Linked DNA regions of Lepisosteus oculatus. The protein of the gene in region 1 purifies or fractionates together with the protein of each later gene. This does not show direct contact. Links are inferred from orthologs where the notes say so. Each region holds a gene or a part of one and is shown in the gene's direction. Other genes may lie near its edges.

Region 1 (7,831 bases):
CATGCTAAACCACAACACTGAAGTGGGTAGATCTGGAAACTCACATCCAGCTCTTGTCTTAATTTCCCATACTTTTTTTTTCTTTTTACAATTGCTTAGACATCTACAAATTACAGCCTATTGAGATCACAGAAATGAGTCATGAATAAATCCACCAACTACACCTACCTACCTACACCTATATATTTCAACTAGGGTGAACAAATCAAAACTGCAATTAAAACTGTTTTCTCAATAGGGCTGCACTGATTCTGTCAATCTACTAAATGTATTTGTTTATTCTTAAAATGACTATCGAAGGTCGAGACCCAATGTCTCTGAATCCATCTCTTGCTCAGATCAATCCACAATCAGAGGAAAGAAAATGTGATTTTTTAATGACCTCCCGATACCTAGGAGAAAGCAAAAGCATTCAGTATAAAAGATAATAATATTGATTCCTGTAATAAAGAATCAATCCCTTGTACCTGTTCCCTTGGAATAGCTACAGCACCTGCTGTAAGGTTCTGGGTACCATGAGGACACTTTGGAACAGCAGAAGATAGATAATCCACCTGCATTAATACCTGTCAGTGCAGAGGAAGCTCTGGAGTACAGCAACACCCTCTGCAACAAATTAACTACACTTCAGCAATCCACTAATCTCTTATCCCTGATTTATTTTTTAGAACTCCTTTTTTTTTTCTTTTGCCTTGAGGATCCGAGTCCGCACAGGGATTAGATCCAAGCTTTTTCCGAATCCGCCCTGGCGCGATGAAGTCAGACTAAGTATGACCTCTGTCTCGAATGTGAATGGAAGAAATGGAGGGTAGAAATTCAGACTGGGTGCGTCTAGGGCAAACAGTGCCATTGGGGTCTCTAACAAAATACCCAGGAAATGTGCTTTTCTTACAAAAACTATTTGTGTTTTTAAAATTATTAATTGCACCCCCACTCACGTTCTGAATCATGCTTCATGCTTCATGCTGATTCATGCTTTACAACAATCAAGGTGAAGGGAGAAACCTTAGAAACGACTAAACACAAATGACTACAGTAAATTTAAGGGAATCAAAAGCTGATGTATGAAAGTAAATTTTAAGTCATGGGCTTAGGGATCATTCCCACAGCCTTGGAGAAAAACAGTACAGGAAACATGATCTCCCCATTATCTCAGGGTCACCCAGGGTTAGGATCCAGTTTTGGGGAACTAAAAGTAAAACCAAAGAGCAAAGAAAAGTGACGTTGTGTAGGGGGCTAACGGTTCACTGATTTACTTAGGAGACAAACCGCTCAAGCCCTTAAAGACAGCAAGATTTTGAAGTTTATCGTAAAGTTCACAGGATGGCAGTGCAAGAAAACTACAACAGGGGAGATCCATGAATTTAAACTGAGTTACAAGCAGCTGGTTTGAACATGCTGTAGCATACTAGTTGTGTGACTGTGTAAATCTAGGTACTTAATTTTCCTTTAGGAGAGTTTTGGACAGAGTCAGGAAAACTAGAAGGGTAACATATTGTATTAGTGGTGTTGTGGCTCCACCTGGTGGCTTTATACACTTAAAACTTCAGGCTCTATTGAAGCTTTTGACAACATCTTAGCCATCCGATTTCTGTTTTATCCATTACAAGGTCACAGGGGATGTCAAAGCCTAGCCCAGCAAACAACAGGCACAAACACCCAACAGGACCCCATCCCATCAGAGGGTACACACAGGCATAAATACACAGCCACACCAGGGCAAAATTATCTACCAGCGAGTCCAAGTTCAAGTTCAAGTTCATGTTTATTCAATTCAATTTATTTTTAGATAGCGCCTTTCATGACAAGGTTGCCCTAAGGCACTTAACAATGCAATTGACAATACATTTTGTCAATACAGAACAGAAGACCAGAAGACAATGGAGGAGAGGAACCAAAAACTCCTTATTAAGGAGAAAAAATACCTCTAGGGGTCCAAGGTCAACTGGTTGCCCAACCTTTTTGGGCATGCTAACATCATACAATTAAAAAAAGGAAATTATGAGGGTATTAATCTATCCATCCATCATGTCTTCTGTGTGTTAGTACTCCATGCAGATCTCTGTAGACCAGTAAATTCCTTCTAAACTTTAGCTATATCTACGATGTCCCTCTTGGATCCAAGTTTATTGTCATTATACTCATATACAGGTATATGGTATAATGAAATGCTATTTAGCTAGCTCTCAGATGGTAAGCAGTACAAAAAAAACAACAATACAATTGTATAAGAAAAGAAAAACAGAGACAACAGGCAATGTGCAAAACGACAACAGGTAATGTCCTTAGAAACACAAGGAGAACATACAAACTCCACACAGATGGATTGGCCCAGGGCCTCAGTGCTGTGAGGTTACCATGTTAACTGCTGTGCCATCGTGTCGCCCGGAACAAACCCGGTGGCATTTGTCACAGAAATCCTATTGTTCATGAGCATTGTCCGCAGTGATCTAAACTTTGGATTTGAGAGGAGTGTGGCTGGAAAGTGATACAGTTAAATCAGAGGTGAGCACTAGAATTTGATCGAGGCTGGGATCCAGGTTCCATGCTTCTGCATAAGAAAGGTTACAAACTTGTGCAGTCTTTTCTTGAAAGAATCCAGGGTATTGGCTTCAACATCCTGGCTGGGTAGCTTTGTCCATACTCCCACCACCCTTTGGGTAAAGAGGTACCTCCTGTTCTTGGATTTAAACGCTCTTCCACTTGCTCTCTCTGGTTCATGTTTCACTGTTCATGTGGAAGACATTCACTGAGTTGACAGTGGCAATACCATTAAGGATTCTGAATAGTTAAACTAAGCACTAATATTAATACATACATTAGATCTGAAGTGCCCTTTATTCTGACATAAACCCCTCTGCTCCGGTACCTACAGTAGTTGCTTTTTTCTGGACTGACGTTAGAGCAGCAGTATCTTTTCTATAATGTGGTGACCACAATTGTGCACTATATTCTAGTAAGAGACCTTAGTAGTACAGTAAACATTTTGAACATAACTTCCACTCATTTGAATTCCACTTACAGTATGTCAACATAATCACGTAGGTCTTTTTCTCATAAGTAGCTTCTTCTAGCTCAGTGTGTCCCATTTTTATTCCAGATGTGCTTTACTTTATTCCTAATGGTACTTCTGCTGTTGTAGAATGACAAGAACCCTTTTTTTTATTTCTTTTAGCCTCCATTGTAATATGTTTTAAATTTTCATTTTTTAATAACTTTATCACCTGTGCATGTAAACCAATTGTCTTTGTTTCTGTTGTTTTAAATGTGTTGTAATATGCTTTATTTTTCCCCCCAAAATAAAAATAGCTATTTCTTAACTGTTTTCTGAACCCTTCCGGATGCTGTTTTTTTAGTTTTTGTTTGAGTCACTCTTGTGATAAATTTGTTCTTTGCTTCAGACTGTTTAAACTCTAACCATCCCTTTTCAAATGACCTCATACCTATCCTGTCCTATTTTATTTCTCTTCCCCTGCATCTCATTCCTTCAAAAGCCTGCTGTCCAGAAATTGGACACTTTTGCTCCATACTCAACCTGTACAGATTCAAAATATCCATCAGCACCATATTATGGCCAAAAGCTCATAAAGGTTCTCCCATCTTTGTTGTCCTCATTCTCCTGACTACTTGAAAAGACAAGATCTGCTCAAGCAGTTCCACCTATAAGCACTCTGATAACCTGTCTTGCCATCAGTGATGAACTACTGTTTGTCTTCCATTTCAGCCTGTTCCTGACATACCTAACCGCCCTTTGTTCCCATTGTGACCTACAGTTACCAATAAAAATAATTTCTTATGTGGCATATACATTTTTAATTTCATTATACGGTGTTGAGTAAAAATCTACATCTGCAATTGGTGGTGGTGTCTAACACACTGCTAACACCACACCTATAGATTCAAAGAAGTAATTCCTCTACCCTTAATTCCCCAACCTGAATATTCTTTTTGATACGCTGTAGTCCCTTTCTGGTTCTTTGACCTCATTTCTGTGTCTCGACTTGCATTGCTTTTGTTTTGTTCCTGCCAAGTTTTAAGCAGAGCCTCAGCGTTTTGACGAGTACCTTTTTTCTTTCCGATCTTCCCAGAAGAGAATCCGCTTATGCCCCATTCCTCTCCATCAGTTTCAGTAACATCATAACTCCCTGCTAATGTGCCAGCTTCCATCCTATTTCATTTGTTTCCCAGCTTTTAGGTATAAGAGCCTAATTACAGAATCGTTTGTTTTTTTTCCTTTGGTCTTTGTTCCCCATGTAAAGTTTAAGTGTCGGGCTTTTAGTGGGTTATTGAGCCAAGACGACCACCATCTATCCCACTCAGATGCAATCTGTCGTGTCTCAACTGGTGGCCTTTGATGTGGAAAAGGTTTTTAGAGATCCAGAAAGCTAAAAAGTTTATTCTGCACGCTGTGGCTTCATCCAGTCGATCCCAGATGGGACTCAAACCCACAATCCCTGGGTTAGGGCGGGACAGTAGCTTATCCATTAGGCCACTGGGGCTCATTAAAATGTGCTTTAAAAACATGTTGATTAAACTGGACAGAGTATAGGGCAGTTTTACTTTGAAAGAGGCATGTATTGGAGAGAAGTCCATACAGAAGGTCCCAAACCCTAATTTTTCATAATGAAGACAGGAAGAGAGAGAAAGTAATTGAGAACGAAAGCAGCCAGCCATTATCACTGCGCGCTGTAATTAATTGTGAATGGAAGTGTTATTTCACACTCCTAGCTTGCGCTTGCGTTTCGGGTTGTTGGCGAAGCTATCGGCAATTTCCGTCACAGTCCGTCGTTGTTCGTGCCTGTTCCGCATTAATCGGCAATCTCCGGCGGGTCTCGGTTTGGTCGCTAACGGTCGATGTGTTTAAATCCTCGGAGCTCCTTCGGGCCCTGAAACTGAGCAAAAGGCGAAAGAGGGGTTGCGGAACGGGGGAAGCGAGTTAAAGGCAGAGAGAAGGAGCTTGATCGCGTAATGACGGTGCTACAAGAACCTGTGCAGGTAACGGAGGAAAATAAAGAAACGCGGCGCAGCTACTTGGTTAAAATGAGAGCGGCCTGTGGTGGGAACGCGCCCACCCGAGTCCGGCTCTCGCCAGCCGGTAGGGAGCTCTACTCCGAGCCCGAGGCCTGAAAACAAATAGTGGAGGCCTCGCGTACTCTCCTTTTGGGAAGCTAAAAAAGACGCGATTGAAAAGCTTTACAAAGCCAAAAACGATGCGTTTGTTTGATTCAGAATTCCGGTTTATCAGAATTATAACAAGATTTTCGGGTGATGTGCGATTCTTTTATAAACGCTTTGTTGCAGTTTATTGCTCTTGAAATTGTATTAGTCTTAAAGTCCTAATTATTCGCCGGTGTGGCATCTTGCCCTATGGGGGAAAGAGGTGTTTACTGTAGTATTTTGTTTTCTAAAATACGGCAGGTAGTTCTGTAGCATTTTGCGACCTTACACAGGTAACTTGGCTGATGTGCTAGTGGTTAATAAATTGTGATGGGTCATTAACAGTTTGATCAGATGGCGAATTCATTCAAATTGGGGCACTGTGGAGTAACCAGACATTGTGAGGGTCGTTTTTGAGGTTTTGTTCTGCTTTGGAAAGACTTTGGTTCAACTACTGAAGTTTGCGATTGTGAGATGTGGAACATTGTAACGTAGATGCCTTTGAAGTCGAACACCTGCATCTTTGTTTCCTCTGGCTTCAGTGCATTGCTTTAGCGACTGATTGTAGAATTTGAGTGAATATTGATCGGTAGGCTTTTTTTAGGTCTTTTTAAATAAAAATAAAACCGGAAAATTGTTACTTGGTGTTAGCGAATGCTGTTTATCTCGGAGTGTGTGGACAAATAAACCTAGGTACATAAAATGACACAACAGCTTTCGAAGTTTTTGACTGCTGTTTTTTAACAATTTTTTGCTCCTGAAAAGGTATTTTTTCGCATTTAATAAACACCTGAAGGGTGATGCGCGGTGATCCTGTAAGGTGAAATGTTGCATGTGAAGAGCAATACGTTGAACGTGTCTGCAGTGCAAACGTCTTCATGAACAGTCGTTTATAATCAAATTCGGTTTATTGCTTTGTGGTCTAATGTCGCAGAACTGTGGGTTTAGTATATCAAAGGGACTTTCTGCCTATCCAGGTATTGTTTTTCATCTGAAGATATGCCCCAATCCCGCCCCTTCGTAGTAAGTGAGGCTGTTGGGGTTAGGGGTTATAACTGGGAATAACTGTGCTCTTTTTCTCTTAATAGCACCAGTAATGCTCGTGCTTGTAGAATATGTACAGGTGTTTGGAGAAGTGTTTTACCTGCTGAACTGAGGTAACTGTTGGGTGACATGGAAAGTAATGGACATAACTAGACTGGTGTATGATCACTGACACAAGTACATAGCCACCTATATTTGAAAGAGAATGTGGTTATGATAGCTTGTACTATATATAACGCAGGGAGTAATATGATTGGGGACTGCGTGAAGTGTCATTTCTGTGACTATAATGCCCATGAATAGCACTTTTGGGTTACACTTGAACTTCAGCTGTTAAAACATAACACGGCCAATCTATCTTGTGTGGCGTATAATGGAGAACTAATGTGAGAGTGTTATCCACTCTGTTTCCTGAGGGAAGTAAAGAGTATCAGCTTCAGCTGTTGTATCTGAGTTCCAGACTCCCACAAACCTTTGCATAAAGAAGTTATTGCTGCTTTTGATCTTAAATGCACTGGTCATTATATTATTCTAAGTAATGTTTTCTTTTTCACAAAATGTGTCAAGTTTCTTTGAGATAAAAAATGCCGCTAACAGGACAATAACGTTCTTTTTAAACTGCCTTACTTTAATTACACTGCCATTTGGGTTGTATCCAGTTAATCTCTTGGCCATTTACTGAACTTAACCTATGTTTAGTCCGCTTGGTTATATACGAGCAGCAGTTAGTAATTATGACTTTTGGTTTTATTGAGAAACATTTTGTAAATATTTCTTAATATGCAATCTTATTAGTAGTATTCCTGATACAACAATATGTGAATGGGTTTTTAAAAGTTTGATCTTGTTACCCAATTCAAAAAAGATTTTTAGTTTGCTAAATCTTCCCTGTTTCAAAATGTGTAAATTAACTAAACACGTTTCAGATCTTGATGATATTTGTGCTGCAGATAAGGACCTCTGCTGCCAAGATGGTACTGAATTTTTCATTTCATTCCTAGGCAGCTGTTTGGCATGCACTAAACCAGTATGCCTACCGAGATGCTGTCTTTCTGGCAGAGAGACTCTATGCTGAAGGTAATGAAATAGATGTGAGGAGATCACCCAGCTGTTCGGAACTTTTTCTTGGTTGTAATAAATCAATAATGTCTCAGAAGTGATGGAGTCAGACTGGGAAATAAAATTATTAGGGACTCATGTATCCTGAATAAAGGTGGTGTAGTTGTACATCTTTAATCATGGCCCCCAAATTATTGTGAAGTGAGCTATATTTTAAGATGCCTGATTTTTAGAAATAAAATAACAGTAGAATTCTTTGTGCTGATCTGTTTTGCTGACTTCTATGTTTTTAACAATTACGCCTAGACATTTTGTGGTCTTGAAATCCTGTTTTACATTTTAATACTCTTTTCTGTATAAATGTATAGTCTTTAACAAGAATCCTTTTTTTAGCTATTTGGGGTGGTTTGCGGGGGGGGATAAAGTATAACGAAATGTTTGGTTGCCAGTTTTGTTTTGTTTTTATGCTTTCGAAATCTAAGCTCTTCATTAGGGCTGAAGCTTGTTTTTTTTATGTGCTTGGACAGTGCATTCTGAAGAGGCTCTCTTCTTATTGGCCACATGTTACTAC
Region 2 (6,891 bases), on another chromosome or scaffold:
CTACCAGTGTTGGTAAAAGACATTTCAATTAGTCTGTGCTAATGAGTGTTATAAATTGAACCTGTAAGCTGGACAGTAAGTTGTTACTATCCACCTCTGTATCTGAGGGTGCTTTCAATTGTACCGTTCAATCACTCCTGCCTGATAGTTGCACTTAACAAAAACAGGATGTGGTACTATTAATATTTTACAGTATGTTCTTTCTTTACAAGAAATGTGCAAGTCTCTTGGACAGGTAGTAAGGTAAATGAAAAAGAACATGTCCATAAACCAATGCACACAGCACTTCCACACACAATCGATAGATAACTAGTAACCTTACCGTTAGGATGCCAGATTTCAGTAATGAACTTCATCTTTGGAGGCCGCAAGGGATAGTCATAAGGAAACGTCAGATAAGCCTTGAAAAACCCTCCTTCACTGCATTAAAAGAAAGATAAAGATGGTGTTGGCCATCTGTAGGCAATCACTACTGATGCAATTCAGCTCATCTTGTCATGTGGCCAACAACATGAAGTTACAAACGAAGATATAACTGTGTGTGGTTGCACCACTCTTTTCATGGATGGGTGCTACGGTAGCAATTTTCCAGTCAGCAACTACAACACCTGTCTCGAGAGACTGATGGAAGAGATTTGCTCATGGACTATTAATAACATCTCATTTCCTTGAACAGACTTGGTAGAATATCATCAGGTCCTGCAGGTCTATCTCAGTATTTAATATAGGACTTTAGTCTATCTTCAGCCTGATGCACATTGTCTGATCGTTCCCAGATAAGCACGAGTGAAATATTGCATTTTACATCTTTTAACTGGATCTAGTTTTTTTTTTTTTTACTGCTTTAAAAAGTTAAATCATTAAGATTTTTTAATTAAACTATTTGTGCCACCACTTCCCTGACCAATTTAGAAGAAGCTAGAAGCAGAACATCTTTAAGTTGTTCCATCAATTTTTTTATTGGAAGATTGGTCACATTCTTCCGGTCTGTGTCCCCAAAATTGGAAGCCTCCGAGTTGAACTCTATCTTTACAGTTTCAAAGGAAAATAGAGTTTCCTTATTATAATCACAGCTATATTAAACCAATACATACATGCCCTCTAGTAAATCAGTTTTTCTGACAAAGAGTGTAAGAAAGCCGTCAACTCCAACACGAACCACCTCATTTTTCTTCTTATTATAATAAACTATTTTAAAGAGCACCTTTAAAGGTGCCTTCTCAAAGCCCTTTACAGAATGACAACAACAATAACAAATACACAAGATATTCACAATGAGAATACACAGTAAATGGAGGTACTGAATACAGTAGGAGCAGAGGGATAAAGAACAGAAGCAGTTGAGTAAAGGCTCTTCTAATTCCCTGTTTCATCCAAACAACGATCAAACAGGTTCTATTGACCACTTTTCCCATGGGCTTTTAAATACAGTAAAAGACACGGTTATAATCTTTTGGATGTGCATATGATTTCAAAGCTATCCTGTTCTTATTCTATGACTAGGACATTTCTAACTGCATGCACTCTCAGCTACTGTTCTTCCTGGATTTTTAGGATCTTCTCCCATTAGAGCAAACGGATAAAGAAGGAAAAGTCTGACATCTGACCAGGTTTCTACCGCCCTCACAGCACCAGGACAGCCACTTAAAATCCACACTTACAACAGCGTGTCCTGTGGCCCAATTATGACCACCTCCCATTTGTAGATGTCATCATCATCGATGAGCCCTGCCGAGAAGCCTTCCACAGGGTTCTTGTTGAGCTCTGAAATTCAAACACAATTTTAAACACTTCCCTCCAGTAGGATGGAACAGCTGGTTACACAGTGCAAACAGGATAAACTTACCAGACAGTCAACAGGATACATATGCAGAGTAAATGAGTCAAGCAACCTGATACACGTTAGATCGCTGTGGAAACTGTACTGGGGCATATACTACCCAGGAGCATAAGATAAGGGCACCCTGGACAACCAGGAGCCAAAGGAAACAGTACGAATAATATGCTCTTATTATTTCTCAGAGAGATCACATTCAAGGTTTAAACTGAATATCGGCATACTGCATACAGGCAAGATCTCAGGATCCTCTATCCTAAGTCGAATTCTCTCTCATTGCAGTTCATCTCTGCAACATCGCATCTCTCAATAAAACAAAAATGCTGAGTCAAAGCCCTTCAAAAGGAGGAAAAGGTGCGCAAAACGAGTTTTTGCTCGGCTGTATTCAAGAAATGCAGGAGAAGGCTAATTATTGTGCCACACTTGCTCCCAGGTGGGGGCGGTACTCTGTATTAGTCATTTTAAAAGTTAATCCTAACGTCAGAATCACAAAACCAAAGAGGAGCAGACCTGGAGGGGGAAAGAGCTACAAGCCGAAGACTCAGGGTCTCAGTTTTCCACCCGCAAAAAAACACACTCGGAATTCTGGGAACGGCGTAAATTGCGCAAAAGCCAAAAGATCAGCTTTCGAAACACAGGTCTTGACACAAAATAAATAAAAATAAAACAGCTTAATCACATTAGAATTAAAAAAAAAATGAGCAACCGCAATACACAAGGGCTGTGTGGCTTTTACCTGTGTGGGGGAGAGTTCTGGTTGACTCGGATTACGCGATATTTATTTTTTTTTAAGAGACACATTAGTATTTTAAAACTATGTACGGATACGGTGAAAGTGACACAACTCGGCCCCGTTGTAGATTGTAGCTGTAACAGGTAATTTATAAACGTTTAAGCACGTTAAAAGGGAGTCCAGCCGAGCAGATGATGCGGTTGTATCGACCAAAAAAAACCCCCAAAGTTTAGCTAGTTGCCAATTACTTCCTTGCATCTGAACCGCTTCTACATTTCAATGGCACGACGATTCCAGCTTCGTTTTTAAAGAACCAATTTTGTTGGGGGAAAAAAAACAAATTGGAACTCTTAAACAACCCAATAAGATTAATCCGTCCTAAACCACGACCAACGTGCAGCCTGCTAAAGAGAGGAGCTAAATCTCACTACTGTATAAGATACGCCAACCAGCCACATTTTTTTAAAAGGAAAAAAAAAACCAACAACCGAATTAGGTCGTTATCACCCGCTACCGCGTTACACAAACACTTTGGCACTAGCAAAGAAAGCTTAAAAAATAAAACTCATCCCTCACACGAAGGAAAAAGCTGAAGTTCAAGAATAACTGCTTCTTGTAAACAACACATCCTGCTAAAACCTCGATCTCGTCTCCAGACCGAGTCGCTCTCACTAACCTGCCAGCTGTTTTCGAAGAAGCAGCGCTGATTGTTCAGTCATGGTATGTGGGGCTTGTTTTAGATAAAATATATATATAGATAGATAGAGACGTGGTTATCTGTAAGAGAATATCGACAAATAAATAAAAAATGCTATGAAATCCGCCAATTCCTTCCTGCCGAGTCTCTGGCTGCCTGTCTGACACATTTAGGGCTCCCGGAGTGATTTAAGCTGCTCACACCGCATGCGCGCTGACTCGGGAGAATTGGGGTCGTCCAAGCTATCTCCTGCTTAAAAATATCCCATATCCTTCTTTCATTTGTAATTCCTTTAAAACTAACCCAACAACAAACAAAAAAAACAAATAAGCGTGGAAACAAAATCGTATAAAACACAGACTCTCATTTTAGTTATGTGTGTGTGTTCCTTCAGTGCTGTTTGAGGTCGTGTTTTTGCGGAGACCCAGGGCATCAAATGAAGAGGCACGCTTCCAGAATTAATAGGCGACCACCTTGACACTACCAAAATTGATTGAAAGGTTTTCAGTGTTATCTTCTTGTGGCGAGGAAAACAAATACAATTTTAAAGAGGCCAGTTGAAGGCAGCGTTTGAAAGGACCCCCCTATTTAAGACCTCAGAGGCGCCATATTTGATGCAATAAGGGAGAAGTTTTTCAGGAGGGTTTAACGAAAGCTGTTTTGATTATTTTTGTCCATTGTTTTGTCTTTGGAAACCACAATTGCTAAAAAAATGAATGTTATAGATCACGTTCGAGAGATGGCAGCCGCCGGACTCCACTCCAATGTCAGGATATTGAGCAGTTTGTTACTTACAATGAGTAACAACAACCCGTATGTACCTTTCGTTTCGTTGACAGGTTCTGGACCAACTCCTCTGCATATAATATGTAGTATATGTGGAGCTTTTATCAATACAGTTTTTTGAAAACGTGTTTTAAACCCTTAACGAAGATGTGTGAGCTCCATTAAATATGATACCTCACTATTATAGTGTAACGGAAGTGCTCAAAACAAGTGATGAAGTGGTACGCCGTATGCACTAGTGCACTCATGCAAAAACGATAATAGAATATAGGTCGGACGTAGACAAGGGAATGAGTACATCCATTCACAAGCAAATCATTTTATAGTTGTAAATAATTTATGCAAACTATTTGCAAAATCTCCGGAGAGAGCAGAAAAAAAATAATGTAAATGTTGGGATTTACTCAACATAGAGTACAGCACCAGAGTAGACCATACTCTTTTCACTGCTTGTGTTGAGCTCTTTTGCAGAAGTGTCTATAGTATGCATTACCTATATTGATGAGCTATTTCCTGCAGCTGCATTTTAGATTTTGTTAAATCCATGAATTGTTTTATGTGCATGCAAATGTTTTTTTTCCAGGGAGCTGTTTTCCCCATCGCAGAAATACCAGCTGCTGGTGTACCACGCGGATGCCCTGTTCCATGATAAGGAGTACCGGAATGCAGCTTGCAAGTACAGCATGGCTTTGCAGCAGAAGAAAGTGTTGAGCAAGACCTCTAAAGTAAGGACCTCTGCTGGGAGCAATGCATCCTCTTTGCAAGGACAGGTACATACTGTTTACTTGACTAAGAGTTTTAGGTACCATTTAACTGGTCACTCAGAGATAAAAAAAAACCTACCCAGGCAGGGTGATCCATTTGGTCCCGGTAATCACATGAATGCTTTAAAATCAACTGGATTTTTAAGTTTGTATTATAGTGAAAGATGGGTCATATATATACTGATGCAAATCTAAATTGTGCATGAGGAACACAGAGGTCTTGTTCAAGTATTTAGTGTGACAAGCTGAAATTATTTGCTTCTAAAATAGTCATTTCAAATTAACGTAGTATAAAAGGTGAATTGACTTCAATATGACAAATGCCAAAAGGCAATAAAAATAAAATCTAGAATTTTTAGCCTCCAGGTTAAATTGAGAGTGATAAAGAGTCCACATATCTTGTTTTTAGAGCCTTCCGTCTGAGATTGAGGTGAAGTATAAAATTGCAGAGTGCTACACCATTCTCAAGCTGGATAAAGATGCCATTGCAGTTCTGGATGGGATTCCATCAAGGCAGAGAACGCCCAAGGTTAGCTGTAGTGTTGTGCTCAATAAATGTCAGTATATACTGTATGTATTTATGTATTCTAAGTTTTGTAAACTCTTTAATCTTAGCAAATGGTTATTTGTATTTCTGTTAGTAGTGTAGTATAGTAGTGTTTATTTCTAGAGCCATAAAAACGTCTGCATGCAAATCAGTGCATTGATTGTTTCCTTCACCTATTATTTAGGAATGTTCTGTTTTCATAAAAGAGTGCAAATTACCTACACTAAACATGCTATTTAAAATACTCATTAGAATTGGTGTTTGATATGTTGGATAGCTAAGCTCAGATGTTGAAATCACTCAGCAGTGTGTATTTTTTATTTTCAGATCAACATGATGCTGGCTAACTTGTACAGGAAAGCTGGGCAAGAGCGCTCAGCAGTAACCAGCTATAAAGAAGTTCTGAGACAGTGTCCTCTTGCTCTTGATGCTATTATCGGTACATACTTTTAATATGTAGTTTGTTTTCACATGGTATCCCATTCCATCTCCCCTAGATGCTTAAAGATATTTAGCTTGCAAAATGTCTGTTTTTGCAAGTTAGAAATGGCCCGTTTTTGAGAGGGAAGTTAGTTTTGCAAGCTTTTGCACTAGTAAGAATTCTGGAGTGTGTGTGTGTATGCTCTCTGCTTTGACTGTATACTTTTGTTATACCTAATGCACATTTTCCCTTAGCTTTTAAGGCTGAAATTGACCTAAATAGAATTTAAGATTTCAACTCTAGGTTGTATTGCTTTTCTTTGGTTTGAAACATAGTACCCTTTTTAATTAAAACTATGTAAAAATTGGAGTAGTTTACATTTTCAGCCATGTAAAGAAAATGTGCCAGTAATATTTTCAGTGCACCCTTAAAGTCAGAATATTGATGTAGTGCATTGTTTTTCTGTATGAAAAGTATATAACTCCCAACTGTAATGCTACCCTAGCATGCTACCATTTATTCCTTCTAAATGAATTATTACCGATAAAGGGTGCTTAGGTATACTGCCACATTGCAGTCCACCACTTGCCAAATTCCAGAGCAAAGAAAACCTAATGCAAGGAAATATAGGACATCATTTTTTTACAAAAAGGTAAACTAGACCAAAATGTTAATCATTTATGGAGTTTTTATATGAAGATGGTCAAATGAATCCTGCAAAATATCTTACAAGATGCCATTAGTGTTTTGCTTTAGTGGAATACTGGAACTCTCCTTAGATATTATAGTTGACACTTGCACGTCTCCAGCTCGAGGAAATCCATCATCTTTTTTATTTTTTAAAACATCGGGTAATGCCAGGTTATAACTAGAGTCAGCGGCGTACGTGGTCCTGCTTCATGTTGTTTCCTGGATTAAAGGTCGGTGTGTTTTGCAGGTCTGCTGTCCCTGTCTGTCAAAGGAGCAGAAGTCGCATCAATGACCATGGACGTGATTCAGAGCATCCCCAGCCTGGACTGGCTTTCCGTGTGGATAAAGGCCTATGCTTTTTCACATGCTGGGGACAACCTGAGAGCCATCAATACTATCTGGTGAGACATAAAAAA
Region 3 (7,489 bases), on another chromosome or scaffold:
TTGTATATATAAGCCATGCGTTTGGCAAAAAAAAAAAGAAAAAAATCTATATTGAGATCCTACATGGAGGATTTGCAAATGCACTACAGCTGCTCCCGTGCCAAGCGCCTGGATACCGGAGCAGACGAGGAGCACTGCGCATGCGGGTAACAGTAGCTGACTCCGGAGACGGCTGCCGTGGTCCAAGGATCCACACCGATCGCTACACTCACACTCACACTTACACTGCTGTCCGTGGACACTGCAAGGGCTGTGTAGGTCCCTAGTGGCTGGTAGCTCATATTTTACGGACCTTGAAAAAGTGTCATATAGAAGGGAACGTATTGTGTCCAGATCAAAGTAAGAATAGAGCATCGAACCAGGGTCTGCAGCTAATATACTGGGAAAATGAAGCGATTCAAGTAGCCTTAAATCTCTGTCCCGAATGAGAAATATAATTATGCTCAAATATGTTAAAACAAAACTTAGTGCGGTTTGCCAACGCTCTAGGAAACTCACTTCTACACTACTCAAGATAATTTGTTTTCGCTTTTTAAAATTAAGGTGTCGTTTCTCATCTGTTTTCTTTAGATGTTATGGATTTAATTTCTAAAATTACAAATTTAAAAGTGACAGATTAGGTGACGAAACAGTGCACTGTTGATGATCGAGAAAGGCACAAGCTATTTTTATCCATCCATCCATCCATTTTCTAACTCCTTCATCCAATTCAGTGTCAGTGAGCTGGAGCCTGTCCTGGCAAGCACAGGGCGCAAGGCAGGGTACACCCTGGACAGGACGCCAGTCCATCACAGGGCTGACGGACACACATACACTCACACCATGACCAGTTTTCTATTTTCTAATACGCCAATTAACCTACCAGTATGTCTCTGTGGGGTGAAACCCACATGGAGACAGGGTGAACAGCAAGGCAGCAATTCTAATTAATCACTGCTCCACCCTGCCACACAAGCTGTCTTTAAAGATATAAACATTTCATCAGCAAGTGTGTGTTCAGAACAGGAATGAAACGACTGAAACATGAGAGCCTACAGATTTAAACGCAACGGAGATGTTAGTTGCGTGTCATTTAGAATGATCTTACATTACTCTGCTTCATTACTACATTACTCCGCTATTATTACCTTGCTGTTAATGATAATTCCTGCCAGCAAGAATTAACCTGTGAGCAAATTCATGTGACAATAGAGGTGGACCGAAGAGAACAAAATAAAGTGTCAGATTCGGATGCACACACAATGAATTGAAATGGTCGGCGTCATTTTTATTCATCATCTCTTTGTTGAGAGGACAAATAGCAAACAATGGTGTGAACACAAGGGATTAATTGCTGTGAACTGACAGAGGAACACCTTTGGGTTTTCCTGTTTACATTTCAGCTTTCTTTCCTAGCACAATGCTGTCTGCAGGTGGAGGATATCAAGGAGTAGGAGCGGCTTTCAGGAGCCGATGAGTTCAGGCATCCTCACATTCTGCGTCCAAAGGTCTCTAAGCCACAGCCTAGGTAGCAGAGCGCTCTACAAGCAGGAGTCGTGAAAGCAGAGGAGCAATAGCATTGACAGAGCAGAAGCGAAGAACTGCTGGAGAGAATTCATCGTATGGTGCTTGACCCAGGGAGCTGCAGAGAGCATGCTGGGAAGCAGCGGAACTCAGGAAGGGGCAACAAGGACACTTTCCGAGTGGTATCAGAAGATGTGTGAGTTGGCATCGTCAAAGTCTTTCCTGACCAGCAGTACTGAAGCTGTAAAACTGTTACTGAAAATGGATGGATTGACATACTGTAGACCAAAATATGTTGGTCTGATTTCATTCACACCTTATGTAAATAACTCACTTTGGCTTTAATCAGCAAAGGCATTTGCTTTGCCTGTACATAATGATCACTTAAACCATTGTTTATCCTGTAATGGTTTAATTTATTTTGACAAAGCTCTTATTTTTGCTGAGCACTGTTTAGCTGCAGACTACAGCAGATATAGTAGTTCAGAGCACCAGCTGATTTTGTCATCCTCACTGACTCGAATTAAAAATACCTGAGAAAGCCGATCTATTGCTAGAAACATTACATGCTCAAGATCTGCTCTCCTTACACTTAGTGCACCATAACCAAGCGGACGACACCGACCCTCAACAACCCCAAACGTTCCCTGACCCTTATGGCCAGCAATGACCTGCACACTCATCAGAGAGAGGCCAGGATCCCCTTCTGCACCCTGTTCCTGTCATACGACATAAGTCTTATCTATCCTGTCCTTATCTATCCTGTCAAACTATCTGACTGAAAATCTTCCAGGATGCCAATAGCAGGATCAGCCACAGCTGCGCTAGCCTCTACATTGTGCACTTGATGAGCCACTTGCAAAGACGGGCCACTAGTGTTACAATGTACATCTCAACAGGGAGGGAGTGCGCATTTTGGCCCGAAACATCAAATACACAGATGTGCATAGAGTCCAGCAAACGGAGAACTAGGGAACTGAGCAACAGTATGCCGGGGAACACAGGATATGAACCACCTGCCCCCCTGTCAGCACACACAGAGGACTGGTACACCCTACCGGCAGCCCACACAGCCCCAAAGAGCTGTGCAAATGTCATCTTGAAGAAGGAGAGGCTGGCTCTGAACTCAGCCACATCCAACACCTGATGATCAAGATCTACACCAGGCTGATGGTGTCATAGAAATCAAACATTAACAACCAGCCACTGTGAAGACACCAAGCACCCTTTAACAAAGTGATCGACTTGCAAGATTTCAGAAATGCAAAGTTTTATAATGTCTAGAAAGGTATTCCTAATGCACACAGAATGTTTCTTTCCACTTTTTCTATTTATGTTGTGAGTCTGATTTATTTTGCAAGTTCATCTCATCTTAGTTCAAAGTGTCACAGTTAGGGCCTCTGGGCATCATAAAAAACAGTTCCAAGAATCTCCAATATATCCTTCCATCCATTTCCTAGCTGCTTCTTCCAGTTCCGGGTCATAGTGGAGCTGGAGCCCATCCCGGCAAGCTTGAATGCAAAGGATCCAAAACCTCTTTGTATACCAGCCATTTACAGTGTATAAGTAATAGGTTTATTCCATGCTGAAAAAAAGAAGAAAGAGAACACAACGTTTCGGCCGTGGAGCCTTCTTCAGGTGTGAGAGAGACAGGGCAGTAGGCAAAGGTAAAGTAGCGGGAGAACAAAGGTTGAGAGGGAGGAGGAGTGAGAGGCGGGAGCAGGGGACAGAAAGAGAGGCCAATCAAGAGGTGTGAAGTCAGAATGGGTGCAGAGAGGTGTGAGTTAACAGTGTATGTCAATAACACAGCAAGTCACCAGAAAAACATGAAAAAGGAGTATGTTTTCATAGCGCTTTCTTTTCCACGAAAGCAAAAATAACTATCCCTGGTATTTCTGTACTGTCATATCTTTCATTTCTAAAGGATCACAATATTGACACGGTGGCGCAGTGGTTATTGCTGGGGTTCAGTTCTAGGCTTTTCGATTCCAGTTTGTACTGTATGTTCTCCCCATATTCAAGTGGGTTTCCTCCAGGTGCTCCGGTTTCCTCTCAAAGTCCAATGACATGCTGGTAGGTTAATTGGCTTCTGGAAAAACTGGCCCTGGTGTGAGTGTGAATGTAAATGTGTCTGTGTGTGCCCTGCAATGGATTAGCTTCCCATCTAGGGAGTGTCCTGGCTTGCACCTGTTGCTTGTCCCCGTGACCCTGTATTGGATAGAGCAGTTAGAAATGGATGGTTTATATATGGAAGGAACCTGACTTCATCCCTACACTGTAGTACAGTACAGTGCTTACCTACCTAGCAGCAACTCCACTATACAACACATCAATATTCTGGTACAAGAGTAATAGTGCCACCTGTGGTGCACTAACATTTGGTCTTATCTACATTCTGAGATAAGGCTATAAGGTTATTGGCTACTGTTAAACACCCCTGGGAGCTCAATGCCCTGGACAAAAAGTCACATCGATTTCGTATTTTTTATTTAACCTTTTATTTTTTATTGTAAGTTACAAATAGTTGCATAGTTACAGCATTTAAATATGTTTTGACGCCTGAAACAACAAGGCTTTTAAAACACATTTTGTAGCAATATACTTTACTTCTGGTCCATAAATCATCATTTGGCAGCTTTAACTGTTGTGACTAATATTATCTATTTTGTCTTTATCCTTAAAAGTTTTGTTCCATTATTAATTACAGCAATAGTGGAAATTCGTGCTTTGGAATTAGTAAAATCCGTACATTAGATTTAAGAGCTTTCAGTATTCGTATTTTGGGAATTTGTTCCATGTACGTAGGTAAGAGGGAGATTAAATCTCACAGAACAAAATTATGTAAACTGCAGGCGAAAGCTGCTTTTCTCAAAATAGGAGTTTCCGGCGGCGGCAGAGTAACAATAAATCCAAGACGGAAGCTGTAGGACAGCAACAGCGCAGCCTCTCTGTGATGACGCAGCGATACAAACTGACCAATGGGCGAGCGTGCTGAACGGAAATGGCGAAATTTGAATGTTCTGGAGAGGAAAACAGTGGCAATAAGGCTGTTTCAGCTTCATGTGGAGATAATCTTGCAGATATGTTCAAGAGCAGTAAGTATGTGTGAAATATACCATCAAATTTATATAATTTAATGTAGGAAGTCTGCCGATTGATCGCCTCAAGAGGTATTTCTGGAGCACAGTGTTTTGAGGAGGTTGCGGAGATGGAAATTGCAGACTTTTTGATTGCAGTTCTGTTTTTTTGAATGGCTGCATAAGGGTTGGGCAAAGTGCATTCACTTTGTGTTGCGTTTTGCCGTATTTTGTTGTTTATATTTATTTTTTTTCACCTCTTTAAGGTGAGGCGTGGGAATGTGTAGTTTATGAAATCCAATATTGATATGTTTCTTTGACGAGGACGTAAGCATTCCTAACGGCGAAATAAAACAATAACGGCAAACTCGGTTGAATGGTCGTGTAGACACGCCTTTTTCTATAAATAGCGATCATTTATATATGTCTAGGTTTTCTTGGAGATTTGAATCCCAGTAAGTGCACTTTTGTTTTTAAGTAAGACTTAACGCTCGATAGTGATTATAGTACACTAAAAAAACTGGATATATTATATGTTTTTATCATTCTGAAATTGTGTGACAGTATCACCACGTATCTGAGACGTTTATAAAAATGAAATTTTACGTAAATTATTAAAATAATTAAAATTGCGAAAGCGGTTTAATGAAAAAAATCTCCTGTTTTGGAGGTTGGTCACCCACACATTCCTGACATATGACTTGTTTATACAAGAGCTGGGTATCCCCCCCGGTCTGAAAACACTGCTTTCAAACGCTAAAACCTTTTTAATAAGCGTGATGCAGACGCTAAAATTCAGTGGTTTAATTATAGAAACAAAATTGACGGTTTATTTCACACATGCTTTCCGTGGTTAAACACACACTCGTATGGTTGTGAACGGGTGATCGGAGTCCAGTTTGAGCCTCATCATACATTCTTTGGGAAAAAAAATAAATTATTTGTCTATTTACAAAGATAGATTAAATTAAATGAGAGTTAAAAGATTTTGGATTTAAGTACAAAATTTGCAGTGAGAACGCAGGTTTCACGAAGAGAACTGTACTGCCTGTTATTAAATGTTTTGCAAGTAGAGTGAGTGGTTAAACGAGTTAGATCAAGTAGAAGGTGTTTACACACAATATGTACAGTTTAGCGCTCCTCGCTTGAGCTCAGCCAATAAGACCTATTTACACCTAAATCGGATTATATGTAGAGATAAATTCATTCTCTCATTTATATGTTACATGTTGGATTACAATGGGCGTGACTATTCTGTGGCAGACGGGAGACTATTCATGATAGGTGACCTATTAACCCGCTTGTGTTGTGACTTCTGTGAACTTGGGTGATATTTTGCACTGATACCATGGAGACTTTAGCTAGAAGTGGCCATTCTTTTGGAGGACCCCTACAGCTGTGTTGTCTTACAGTTCCTCACAGCATATACCGTACTGTGTCGTTTACAATTGTGGGGTAGTGAATACTCGGTGCTAGTGTATAAATACAAACAACTCCGCACGGATAATTTTAACAGTAACGTGGAGGTGTTTATTTTTTTTTAAGCTTCTCTGGAGTTTAACATTGCTCCAGTCCTCATCGCACTTAAGCGGCATAGACGACTGCCTTGATTTTCCAATGTTCTTTTGCTGCACTACTGTTGATCTATTTCGGACACCCTAACATCTGAATTTTATAAATATCTGCTCAGCATCTATTTCTACACCTGTACTGAAACAAGGTTTACAGTAAACGTAGATTGTAAATTATTTTGCATTTCTAAAGATGTGATAATACTAGCTATGCGCGATAAGTTTCTTTTGCTTTTGTTCGTTATTATTACAGTAACTAAGCATTCCAGATTTTATTTTTACTTACAGCCATGGATGATGAACAGCATACACAAAAGCAACTTGCTTTGCTTTCTGCAAGACTGAAGAATATTAAATCAAAGCTCTTTGATGAAGGTAATTACATTGTTGCACTATAGTATGTATTTGTTTAATATTTTGTGCATTTCCGTACAGATTATAAACATTTCTCAATGACTGCAAAAATGCTCAGTAATAGTCAAATTAAGCTTAAAAGCAAAGCAGATGCATGGTAGTTTATTATTATTGGAGTTACCCTCAGAGTTGTTAATAAAAAGTAAGCTGTTTTTTCTCAATCTGATTTTATAGAAGTGTTAATGAATTCATTTTTATTCTTTATTTTTCTTTGTCACTTAATACTTTTATCTTTTGTTTTCTTCCTTAGATGATACCGACAGCTTAAAACAGATTTTAAGTTCCAGCTCACCCGAATCATGCTTGGCCCATTTAAAAAACATAGAGAAGAGAGGCAACCCTCATACAGATCCATGTCTTCTAAAGAAGCTCGTTGACTGTTATGGTCATGTGTTTTCTTGTCTACCAGTAGAAAAGAACTGTCGCAATGAAAGCTATGCAATGATGCTGGTCAAGTTTGCAGAATTGAAAGCGTAAGTATATGGGTTCATATCACAGACTCGTGTGTGTGCTTTGCAGTGGTATCAGTGAAAAACATCCATTACTCCTTCATTGCTGCCTCTCCATATCTGCTGAGTAGTTCACCGTTTTTAAAGGCTAGATGAATGCTCAGTGCATTTTGGAGACACAAAGACAGGGAGAGAGAAGCTTGGGGTCAGAGCGCCGGGTCAGCCGTTTATACGGCACCCCTGGAGCAGTTGGGGGTTAAGGGCCTTGATCAGGGGCCCAACGGAGTAGGATTCCTCTGCCGGCCACGGGATACAAACCGGCAACCTTCCAGCCACAGGGGCAGATCCTTAGCCACAGAGCCACCTCACTGCGCCAGCCACCGAGGAATGTAGCAGAATGCTAGGCTCATTGGCAGTTAGTGGCTCCATCAGTGATAGATGAGATGCTTTTCCATCTTTCTATATTAAATGATGA

Evidence for each region. The genes of interacting proteins can lie anywhere in the genome.
Region 2: the proteins of cdc27 (region 1) and anapc7 purify together in Homo sapiens (affinity purification with western blotting; 23 studies listed by BioGRID and IntAct, with this or other methods). This does not show direct contact. The link is inferred for Lepisosteus oculatus from reciprocal best matches to the Homo sapiens genes CDC27 and ANAPC7.
Region 3: the proteins of cdc27 (region 1) and ttk purify together in Homo sapiens (affinity purification with western blotting; 3 studies listed by BioGRID). This does not show direct contact. The link is inferred for Lepisosteus oculatus from reciprocal best matches to the Homo sapiens genes CDC27 and TTK.

Annotation. Positions count from the first base shown.
Region 1 is NC_090723.1:7,973,230-7,981,060, reverse strand, and holds the start of cdc27 (cell division cycle protein 27 homolog), read left to right. Parts: upstream 1-4,809; 5' UTR 4,810-4,968; coding exon 4,969-4,995; intron 4,996-7,202; coding exon 7,203-7,278; intron 7,279-7,787; coding exon 7,788-7,831. UniProt on the Homo sapiens protein: Component of the anaphase promoting complex/cyclosome (APC/C), a cell cycle-regulated E3 ubiquitin ligase that controls progression through mitosis and the G1 phase of the cell cycle.
Region 2 is NC_090717.1:10,172,314-10,179,204, reverse strand, and holds the start of anapc7 (anaphase-promoting complex subunit 7), read left to right. Parts: upstream 1-3,868; 5' UTR 3,869-3,979; coding exon 3,980-4,080; intron 4,081-4,636; coding exon 4,637-4,823; intron 4,824-5,226; coding exon 5,227-5,346; intron 5,347-5,691; coding exon 5,692-5,803; intron 5,804-6,722; coding exon 6,723-6,876; intron 6,877-6,891. Other genes in the region: ube2g1b (ubiquitin-conjugating enzyme E2G 1b), read right to left, coding at 323-420, 1,662-1,764, 3,247-3,289. UniProt on the Homo sapiens protein: Component of the anaphase promoting complex/cyclosome (APC/C), a cell cycle-regulated E3 ubiquitin ligase that controls progression through mitosis and the G1 phase of the cell cycle.
Region 3 is NC_090697.1:30,765,299-30,772,787, forward strand, and holds the start of ttk (dual specificity protein kinase Ttk), read left to right. Parts: upstream 1-4,466; 5' UTR 4,467-4,481; coding exon 4,482-4,602; intron 4,603-5,967; exon of another isoform or gene 5,968-6,010; intron 6,011-6,439; coding exon 6,440-6,526; intron 6,527-6,815; coding exon 6,816-7,038; intron 7,039-7,489.